Linked DNA regions of Schizosaccharomyces pombe. The gene in region 2 interacts genetically with the main gene of each other region. Each region holds a gene or a part of one and is shown on either strand. Other genes may lie near its edges.

Evidence for each region. Genes that interact genetically often act in the same process or in processes that back each other up.
Region 1: mutations in exg1 (region 2) and spo4 together harm fitness more than expected from each alone (negative genetic interaction), as found in Schizosaccharomyces pombe (one large-scale study listed by BioGRID).

The regions. Positions count from the first base shown.
Region 1 is NC_003423.3:3,825,433-3,830,188, reverse strand, and holds spo4 (serine/threonine protein kinase (DDK family) Spo4), read right to left. Parts: upstream 3,012-4,756; coding exon 2,018-3,011; exon of another isoform or gene 1,896-2,017; coding exon 1,728-1,895; exon of another isoform or gene 1,468-1,727; coding exon 1,340-1,467; 3' UTR 1,229-1,339; downstream 1-1,228. Other genes in the region: SBDS family protein Rtc3, read right to left, coding at 1-22; protein psg1, read left to right, coding at 3,975-4,065, 4,116-4,585. UniProt on the Schizosaccharomyces pombe protein: Required for the initiation of meiosis II and progression through anaphase II.
Region 2 is NC_003423.3:3,512,139-3,517,898, reverse strand, and holds exg1 (cell wall glucan 1,6-beta-glucosidase Exg1), read right to left. Parts: upstream 3,296-5,760; 5' UTR 2,762-3,295; coding exon 1,538-2,761; 3' UTR 1,332-1,537; downstream 1-1,331. Other genes in the region: pmc4 (mediator complex subunit Med4), read right to left, coding at 1-410; ARS-binding protein Cbp1, read left to right, coding at 5,560-5,760. UniProt on the Schizosaccharomyces pombe protein: Beta-glucanases participate in the metabolism of beta-glucan, the main structural component of the cell wall. It could also function biosynthetically as a transglycosylase.

The DNA.
Region 1 (4,756 bases), 310 kb from region 2:
GGTTGGCCTTAGAGCTAGACATTTTGGAAGTATTGATAAATATATTAATAGACGGTTGGACAATGCAAAAAAATAAAATTTAATAGTCTTGTGAAAAGAGAGAACAAACTATAGAATTATCCAAATACAAACAAACAATTCTTATTTTTGTGTGAAACGATGCTCAACTAGGTTGGGAAAGGAAGTCCTTTTATAGTATTAGATTTGGGTGGAATAAATGCATTTTCCATCAATATGTCTAAACGTAAGTCTCTAACAGCGTCATAACATATTTACATCATTACTATGGGAAGCGAATAATGACATCAGGCGATATGTTTGTTTACCGTGTGTTAAATCCTTACAGTAAAATAATTAACGCACGATAGCACCTTTTGTCCTACACTACTTCATTACTCTCTCTGGTGCCCGACTTTTGTTTAGAGATGGTTTAGTGTGAAGTTAAGAAAAAAATGTTTCCCCTATATATTCAATCTCTTGGAAGATAAATAAAGGAGTAGTTTTTATTCAGTATTACACTTCATTTTTTCCTTTGATACGCTCACAAATCAATCTCTTTACACATGTAGCTTAAGAGGTGTCAATACCTACCTCTTTAATATGATAGTCAGTGTACATACTATTCTCATAACATTATCGCTAAAGAGTATACTGGAAAAACAAAACATCGTTATTTACAATAACACATTAGAAAGCCGGTGCGCAATCAACACTTAGTGACGTTGTAAACAATACGCAATCATCTGTTTAGTGATTTCACTCACGCAATGGCCCACGTCAGTAAGAGTTTGAAAGAGATGGATAATGGAGTACGTGACTGTTTGACTTTTTTCATGATCGAAACTTCTCGGCGATCTTTTGTTTACATTTTGGAAAATATCTTTTATCATTATGAAGAAAGGAAATTGGCTTATTTTGAATTCGGCTTTTTCTTAGTTTAAGGTTATTGTACTTTTAATTGCTGATTTGTTTCTTATGTACTTTATTCGACGACGTTGACACATCTGTTGGCTGATTCCACTATAATGACTTGACGCTACAGGCATTGTAACGATTAAAGTAGGTTAATGTTTGTCAGAGACATCTCATCCTATCTAAACATTTCGTATTTAGTCTGCTCATTTGGTTAACCTTTTACTGTACTTAGTATTTGACCGTTACACATTCGCTTTTCTCACGTGCTTTGGTTTTTGAGATGTTTGCAACGCACGCAACTTCAAATATCTTTATCTTTGACATTCATTATTATTAAGAGTTAATCGATACAATAAATAAAACTTTGAATGATATTATGGAATTCCGACGTGTGGAAATTTCTCCATCTTTGGCAGATACACGTCTACTGCTCTACAGTTGAAGGGAAATCACTTCGAAAAGGGTTTTCTGCCTCAAATCCTGACCGGGTAACCCCACATGCATTAAAGAATTCGTGCTGAAGAGCTGTTTTGGCCTTTACTCGTTTCGATGCTAGATAATTGTTAGCCATTCAATTTTTAATTAATTCCTGCCATGTTGTTTTATACAACTGGAGTTTGGAAATCAAGATACTAGTTTCAGAGTGGATAGCCCCAGGCTTCGTTAAAAAACCTAAAAAGCATCATAAAAGAAGACAATCCATGAATGAAACAATAAAAAAAAGGCCATTTCGGTTCGCGTTTTTTTTTGTCATTTAAGAATTTTCCTCCTAGTCCACTTCCTAGTATTTTGTTTTTGGGATTTGCACGTACGATGTAATTCTAATAACTTGTCCAACAAGTCAATGGCTAAAGCCACTTGATAATCTGAGCTTGTCTCTAAAATTAAATTCTCATCATTCTTCGTAATGCTAGCAATTAGGTCTAGCCAATTATGCTTTTGATCTAGTAGAGTCGGAATGTTATCTGACCAAATTTGTCCTGAGAGAAATACAAGTTAGCACCTCAAAAGTTGTCTCAAAAAGATTTGAAGCATTGGTTAGAAAACGATTTCTCTCTTCGTTTTTTCAACTTTTACGCTCAAGTGTTTAATAACTACTTACCATGTAATAATGCGCAGTTTGACATGCCATTTCTTCCAAAGATATGTGCTAATTCTACGATTGCATCGATATCATCTTCACAGCGGAAAAAAGGATATCGATGTGTTAAAAAACACAACAAAATGACTCCCACTGACCACACATCAATTGAGGATGTTTGATTTTGGCATCGAAACAATACCTCAGGCGCTCGAAATCCTCTTGTTCCGGCTCGGTCAGCACGTTTTGTAGGCCTTGGATCATGTAGCAAGTAACCCTCTGGAGGATCTGCTATCGTTTTCTCAAATGGAAAATAATCGTAATATTTTCCTTCTTGCTTCAGTTTTCTCAATTTATCGACACAGCAATTTTCTGTAGGTGCATCTGCCTCTTGCCATTGAGCTAATCCAAAGTCAAGTATGACTCCCCTTTGGGTGTAAGGATTCCAAGCAAAGTTACCTGGTTTGATATCTCGATGAATTATGCCCTTTGCATCTATATGTGCCAACCCTTTCAAGAGGTCTCTTAAGTACGCACCAATTTCTGGAAGAGAATATTTCATATAGAAGTCCCGGAACTCTGCATGTTGTATAAACGGTAGTACAATTAACACTTGATCTTGATGTCTTACAGCAGTTATCATATTTAGTACACAATCACTGCCTCGTAGTTCATGTAGCATCTCAAGTTCAGTTTGGATTCTTGAGGGAAGAACGGTGGCATAAATTCTTTTCAATGCAACAAAATGGTTTTTTGGTCTCTTGGTTTTGTCATGGGGCATCTGATCTTCTATTTGAGATGATATCCAGTAGGAGTTATCGTAGCTATCGAAATGTCTATCCACCGCTTTAAAGACGCTGCTAAAACTTCCTGCTCCTACTAACTTAACCACATGATAGTCTTCTTCAATGGTAGGGAATGCTTGCACCAATTTAGCAATTTCTGGTCGATCTTCTCGATCTACATCACTGGCGTATACACCTGAATTTCCGAAAGGTAATAGCATGGAAAGCATTTCCTGTTTTAATTTTTATTTTAGTCGCCTTTTGTTTGGTAAAGTGCGGGCTGTTAGATGAGGCACAATTTTCATTAATAGTTTGTTTGTTTGTTTACTTCGCCAAACCCAAATATTTCCCTCTAAGCAAAACTTACTTTTTGTTCCCTAAGCTTTGCTATATCGGCCCAAAGCAAATGAAAATGTAAACAAATGATGCCAATGAAGCACTCCAATTTGTTTATACAAATTTTCAATCCATGATCATCATTAAACGGTAGACAGTGTCAAAGTAAATTACTAGACCAGCTAGTAATTTAAATTACATATATTTCCTTTATAAAAAAATTTACTTTAGCTCTATAACTGGTAACATTTAGAGTCCTATTTAGAACGAAAGCATAATTTATCAAAATTTTTTAGTATGTAAACAATAAACAGCACACCTGTCATAACCAATTTTTGAGATTTCTTCAACACTTGGTTGATTCTTTACTAAATTAATTTAATATTATTATTTTTTCTGTTTATTTCTTGTACATTGTTAAAGGTTTTTGTTTATTGTTTACTGCTTACTACTGCAGTTCGTTTCCAACATAATTATATGCTAGACTGTTATAAATAGCTTTTTCTTTCTATACTTTAAGCCATGCGGATACGGCAAACGAATAACCGAAATTTATTTTATTAGTGTAAAGTTATCTGGGTTCTGATGACAGCATTTTCAACTCATATATTTCCACTCTAAAAAGGATTTACTAATTTTTTTTGTTGAATACGATAACAGTATCATTCGAATATATACAATGATATCGCATTAACGAGTACGAGTTAATTTTACACTTCCGTCCCTGGCTGTTGATGTATCTTCCGCAGACAATTGCCGTATCACTGAGTCTATGCTAAAGACATTGTAAGATTCACGTTAGAGAAGACCGTTTTTTTATTTTTTTTAAGCTACAAAGAAAACTTCGGGTTCACAAAATGAAATTCTTTCTAGGATCTGCTTTATTCTTAATCCTTACTTTTATCAATCTTGTTCGGGCTGAATTTGAGTTCATCACTCCTGCTGAAGGTATGTTTTTTATTTAATTTTTAGTATTGTAAAACTGACTTTTGTTTAAGATTCTCGATGGGCTAGAGGATTTACTTATGCTGTCAAATGGAAACAACCCACTGAACAGTTTGTCGAAATTGCTTTGCAATATGCCGACTCCAATAACACATTGATTACGAGCAGTGGTGTTATTCCTTCCAACCAAACTTACTGGATGGTAAAGATAGATAAGAAATGGCTTATGAAGATGGACAACATTACTGCGCGAGTTGTTGCTGTTCCTCAAAATGGTACCGCCAGCACGGTATATGTGGGTCCACAGGTCCTATTAGCGAACACGTTTTACTGGAAGATGGTAGTGGATGTTTCCCCTGCATTTTCTGTAAACCCGATTGACAAGAAACTTGCAATTGGGTTATCCGTTGGTTTATCCTGTTGCATACTGATCGTTCTATTTCTTCATTTTGCAACTAGGAGAGAAAGAAGGATTTTAAAAAACGAGAAAGAGCTGGAAATGTCTTCATATAGAAAGCATTAGCGTTTCTACTTTTCTGCGCCAAAAAATATACTATCTCATTCATCAGAACTGTTTCTATAGAGTAAATGGTCCATTATTAATTGGAAGGTAATACGCATTGCTTCTTAACTTTAAATTCAATGGCCTCTTTCACCATTCCTTGTCTGTCCGCTTTACTCCATTATTCGTTCC
Region 2 (5,760 bases):
TGCACAGGAGCTTTTGCATCTTGACCCGTCTCGGGATTGTACCCAGGAGGTGCAGAGGAAAACTTGGAAAGTTTTCTACCATAATCAAGGAGTGTTTCAGCATTAACTTTTTGTCGTTTTCTCCCCGACACTGTTTTTGGAAGATGGGTATCATAAATTGAGGTCATTTCTCTCATGCAGTCTTGAATTTGTAAATCCAGTTCCTTATCCTGCTTCAGCAAAGAACTAATTTCATTTTGTAATTCTCTACCATTTGTGTAATTTGATATTAAAGAGTGTAAGGTTTTCAAGTGGCCTACTAATGAGGTCCAGTTTTCTATTAGTACATATTGGTCAACCTTTTCGGATGACAGTCTTAACTGTTTATTGAGACATTCTTCAATAGAATCAATGGCTCTTTGATATTCCATTGGGGAGCATATGTGATTACTATATACTAACTACTCAACAATTGCTCGATCATCTAGTAGGTCAGGTTACAGTTATTTTGCAGACTCGACTTTTTACTCCTTAAACATCCGTAACCGTTAGTTAAACAGACATCCTTAAAAGGTTTAATGTGCTAAAACACGGTAAATTACAGTAATGTCCTCCTCCACAAGGGCAATAAGTAGCAGCTGGTATATACGCTCGACGAACAATACTTAAGTTACTCTCGATTAAATAGAATTAGTCAATTTAATTCTGTATATGATTTTAATTGTTTAAATTGTCTAACAAATTTCACTAATTTGGGCAAGAAGAAAGCTATTATTCGTATAAATTAGTCGACAAACTACGTTACATTTACAGTGTAACAATTTTGATCTTGTTAGGGACAACATAATGAATACATACTAGTGAATTAGATATCTCATTAAATTAAAAAAGCGAGTTCGTTAAAGAATGCTTAATGAGCTTATTTCGTTTAATGCGTATAAAGCCTATATCAGATCAGAAAATGTGTAATATTACTTTACCAAGAAATCGCTCAATTTAAATGTAATTTTTATAAAAGTATTTTAAACATATGTCACCTGTGGCTGAGTGAAAACCTATTCTGTCGATTTGCTTTTCCGAGACTAACTCAAAGTGGTCCGTCTATGTGGCTCAATACTGACTTATAAGAGTAGAGCAGAAAATACATTTCATATAAGTAAACTGAAGATACTTGATAATTGAAAATTCAATTGGACAACTTTAAAAAGATTTCTCGGTCAACTTTCTCCAAAGTACAGCTACTGTTAATATAGAGTTCGAAAAAATATGCAATATTGAACGTAAACTATTAAGCTAAATATTAATTTAGTAGGAACTTGCTACCAAAATATTAATATCACATAACTAAAAGATTTCGAAAACAACAATATATATTAAAAACTAATGTCTAAAGATAATGCCAAACAAACAAAGACTGAATGGATAGTAGATAGCAGCACGTTAAATGATAGTAGATGATAAATGCAAGGACAGGACATGACAACGATGTGTGAGATATAAATTAGTGTTATACAGCTAGAATAGATAAAATTTTTTTTTAACTTTGATATGGCTTTGCTTAACCGCAGTAAGAGCTATATTGTCTATCAGTGAAAGGTTGAGGGAATACGCCGTATTCAATAAGTAATCCCATATCCCAAGTAGGACTTGGTCCACCAGTTTTAGCAGTCCAGTAAATCCAACCAGCACCGCGTTCAAATTGATCTAACTGAGTTTCGATAAACAGACGAACAGCTCCCTTATATTCATCCGTCCAAGTGGAAATATCACCGCTGTTTGGTCCAATAAATGTCGAAGAGTCAACTCCTTCTTCGAAAATCGTGCAGTCTGCTAAAGTTCCGGACCATTCGCCAGTAACAGTAATGTAGGGAGAGGAAGCAATGGAATCACCAATGGAGCAAACATCTGAAAGATGATCATCGAGAGTCTTTGAGCACTCATCCGACTCGTAAAGTTGATAACGATGGACATCCATAACAAGATTGTATGAAGAAGGAGATACAACACCATAATCCCAAATAGAAAGATCAACATAGGCATCGTGAATGATAGTAGCAACAGAGCTGGAAAGAGGATTGACGATATTATAGGCATCTAAATCGTATTGCTTAAGTTGATCCATATCCAGACCATAGCCCAAAGGCTCATTTACCGTCTCAATTCCAATAACCACGCTGGCATATTGAGATTGGGTATACTTATTAGCAACATAGGTAATAATGTCAAGAGTACGAGTTACAGTGTCATTTTGCTGCCATCCAATGGAACCAGTCTTACCAGAGTTTTCAAATCCATTTTGGCTGCCTGGAACACCATGCAAGTCAATCCAAACCTTAAGGCCATATTGTTCAGCCCAAGTAAGAGCTTGATCGAGCCAGTACTCTTGCCCTTGAACATATGGTTCGCCGTCTACCACATTAAAGGCCCAATACCCAATAGGAATACGCAAAACATTAACACCCCAAGAAGCTATAGTAGCGAAATCAGATTCAGTGTAGAATGAGCTATAATGAGCAGCTAATTGAGAGGCAGCTTCATCTGCACCAAGAACCTCACAAAAGCCCCATTCATCAGTGGGAGGATTCGACATACTGCTAAATTGAGTAAACAATTGTGGAGTGATCCAATTTTCCAGCACCAACCAGCCACCAATGTTTACACCACGGACTTTTTCCGAGGTATAGTCAAAAACGGGGTTATTTCGCTTGATTACATAGGAAAATGCTGTCTTGAGAAGCAATGCATGCAAGAAAAAAGAAAAAACCGATGTAAAAGAGAGCATTTTAATGATATTATAAAGAGATAGAATATAGATATAAAGAACGAATAAGAGAACGAAAAACTGTTAAGAAACCAGTTTAGTTCAATTCAAAAGCACGTCTCAAATTCTAAGAGAAAAGCAAGTGAGTGTGTATATATTTATGTGTTCTTCAAAGCAGAAGAGAGAATAGGTATAAAGAAAAGGGGTATATATATGAGCACCTTTATGGACCGCGCAATGTAAGAACAAAGGAAGTACAAAAACAGTTCCACACAAAATAGCAATGTACAATTGGACAGAGTGATTGGCCGATTCAAAAAAAAGAAGTTCCTTTTAAAAAGGATATCGATACAGACAGCAAAAAAAAAAAAAGGAAGAAAAACTGAAACTCACGATAACAATGTTAACGAAGAAAACAGATAATCGGGCTGTATGTAAAGGAAAGTGTGTAAAATAGAAAATGCAAGCGACTTCTAAAAATAAAAAGAAAGAAAAAGGTAAAGAAAGAAAAGAAAGGATATCTAAATTAGAGCTTTCGTCTTTGAATTAAACAATGGAACAAAGGAACTGGGCATGAGTATCTTTTATACCAATTTCTCAACTCACGGAGCGCTCTAGAGTATGCTACGATAAAGAAAATTTGACAACCAATCACTACCAAGTAAACAATGATCGACAAATATGGACACTTTTTGACTCCTTAATTGGCTAACCTAATGGCTGGTTTTATTGTTTACTGCTTGGATTTGCGTACTGTTTTGTTTACATTTAGGTAGCGGTTACCAGGTAGATTGGACGAGAGGTAGCAATCGACCGTTTATTGTGGCTTACCGCGTCGTTATACCGTAAACAACGCGCTGGATTCATTGTAAATAGCAACGAAGCGCTGTAAAAAGCCGACAAAACATTAGCATTTGTACACGCTCTCTACCTTCACGCCTTTGCTGCCAGGGTGCGTTTGAGACAGTTAGTTGCTAAGTAAAAAAATGCCAATTCGGCTGGATTGAACTCTAAATATTATTTATTTATTTATTTAATTCATATTGTTTCGGTAATGAATTTGGTAATGTTTACATGATTCTTCTCAACTCAATGTCGGAAACCAACATGTGACTTACCAATTTAACGATATCAACCCTTTTTATTTACTTCATCAGCAGGTCCTTAAAATGTATACTATTTCGATCTAATTTACCTCGTCACACTGCTGTGGCCGTTCAATTAGTGGGGCACAAGACATATCAAAAAAATAAATAAATAAATGAGAAAGAAAGGATTCGAAAAGAAAATTAAAAAAAAAAAAAGACTTTCTTTTTCATTGTCATCTGCTCTGCCACTAAGGAGTCCAAGCAGTTTTCTTCAGGATCCTACATAGAAAACCATACTTTTTGAATTCTGATTAAAACAACCCAATTTTCACTTCATCCTCTGCTATACCATGCTGCCGCTCAAAGGTTTGTCGCGCTAAGTCTGTTAACATTTACAAAGTCCAATTAACCGAGGTAGCATTTACCGAGTCGTTATTTACAAACGGGGATGAATAAGTAGTAATTAGACTGGCGTCATGTAGTATGAACATTCGCAAGTGAACTAGGACGAAAGATAAGGTATGCGACCGATACCTATCTACTTGAGGTTCTGTAAGTTAACTGCGCTCAAATTTCTTGATACACCGTTAATGAATATCTGATATCTTGATATTTTTATTTTACAATGGCTTGTGAAGATATGCTATTTTAACAACTGCAATGGTTTCGTTCTCTAGACCCGGATCTAATAACCGATTATCTGGCAATGTGCACCATCGGCATTTGGTAATATAGGTTGGCAATTAAGAATGGAGTGATAATGAGTTTGAGGCGTTTGAATGCTATTTTTTGAAGAAAATATGATTTCGGAAAATGGAATTAAATATGCATATCATTTAATATAATTTTATTAGCAAGTTGAATTTCCAAGGCGATAACTAACTGTCCGTTTGTAAGTGTAGAATGTTCGTTCATCTACTGTCTTCCATATATGTTCATGTTCTGTAGACTAGTATATATCCACGAAATAAAGAAAATTTATCAGTTAGTAAGTTACAGTAAAATTCATGATACCGTCAATTGTAAAAAAATATGTGAATTGCTACACAAATTGCTTTTTTTTAGATTGACTTGAATGCAATCCTAGCAAAAATTATTAGTTTTTACTGAAGAATATAAAAATTAAAAAAAAAAAAAAAAAAAAAGAGAATAAAAATAAATTTAAATACATCATTTATAGAGTTTGACCTTTTTTTTTAATATTTTATAGTAACCCCATCAATAATCAATTGTTACTACTTTTTCCATAATTTAGTCCCTTCGTCCCCTGAGCGGAATTATTTTTTTTTTAATTCCTTGTTCCATTTTTCCTTCATCGCACTATTATTGAGCAATTTTACGCAATTTCACAAATATACTAAATACAAAACTAACAATACTCTTACTGGTAATCCAGTTTATGTCGACCAAAAACTTTTATTTGGAAACCATGAAATAGCACCAGGAATAATTCATTTTTTTATACCACTGCAAAAAATTGGCCCAGATGAATTAGGAAAGCCAAACCTGGTACGACCATATGTTGATTTTTGAAGATGAAACTCACTATACTGTTTACCGCTGTTTGTTTCATCGCTTAACAGATATTAAGCTTAGATATTACGTTACGCTGTTCAGTATAATATTACGAACTCGTGACTGTTAGTGTCGTTTTATTAAGGCAAGAAACCTTTGCTCTGCTATCCTTATATTTTCACTTCAAGACATTAGAAATAATAAAGCTATCGAGTAATGGGAAAAATCAAAAGAAGAGCCATTACAGAACATGAAAAACGCGCTCTTAGGCACTACTTTTTTCAACTTCAAAACCGTTCCGGTCAACAAGATCTTATCGAATGGTTCCGTGAAAAGTTTGGCAAAGATATTTCACAGCCTTCCGTCTCTCAGATCTTATCCTCCAAATACTCGTATCTGGACAATACTGTAGAAAAA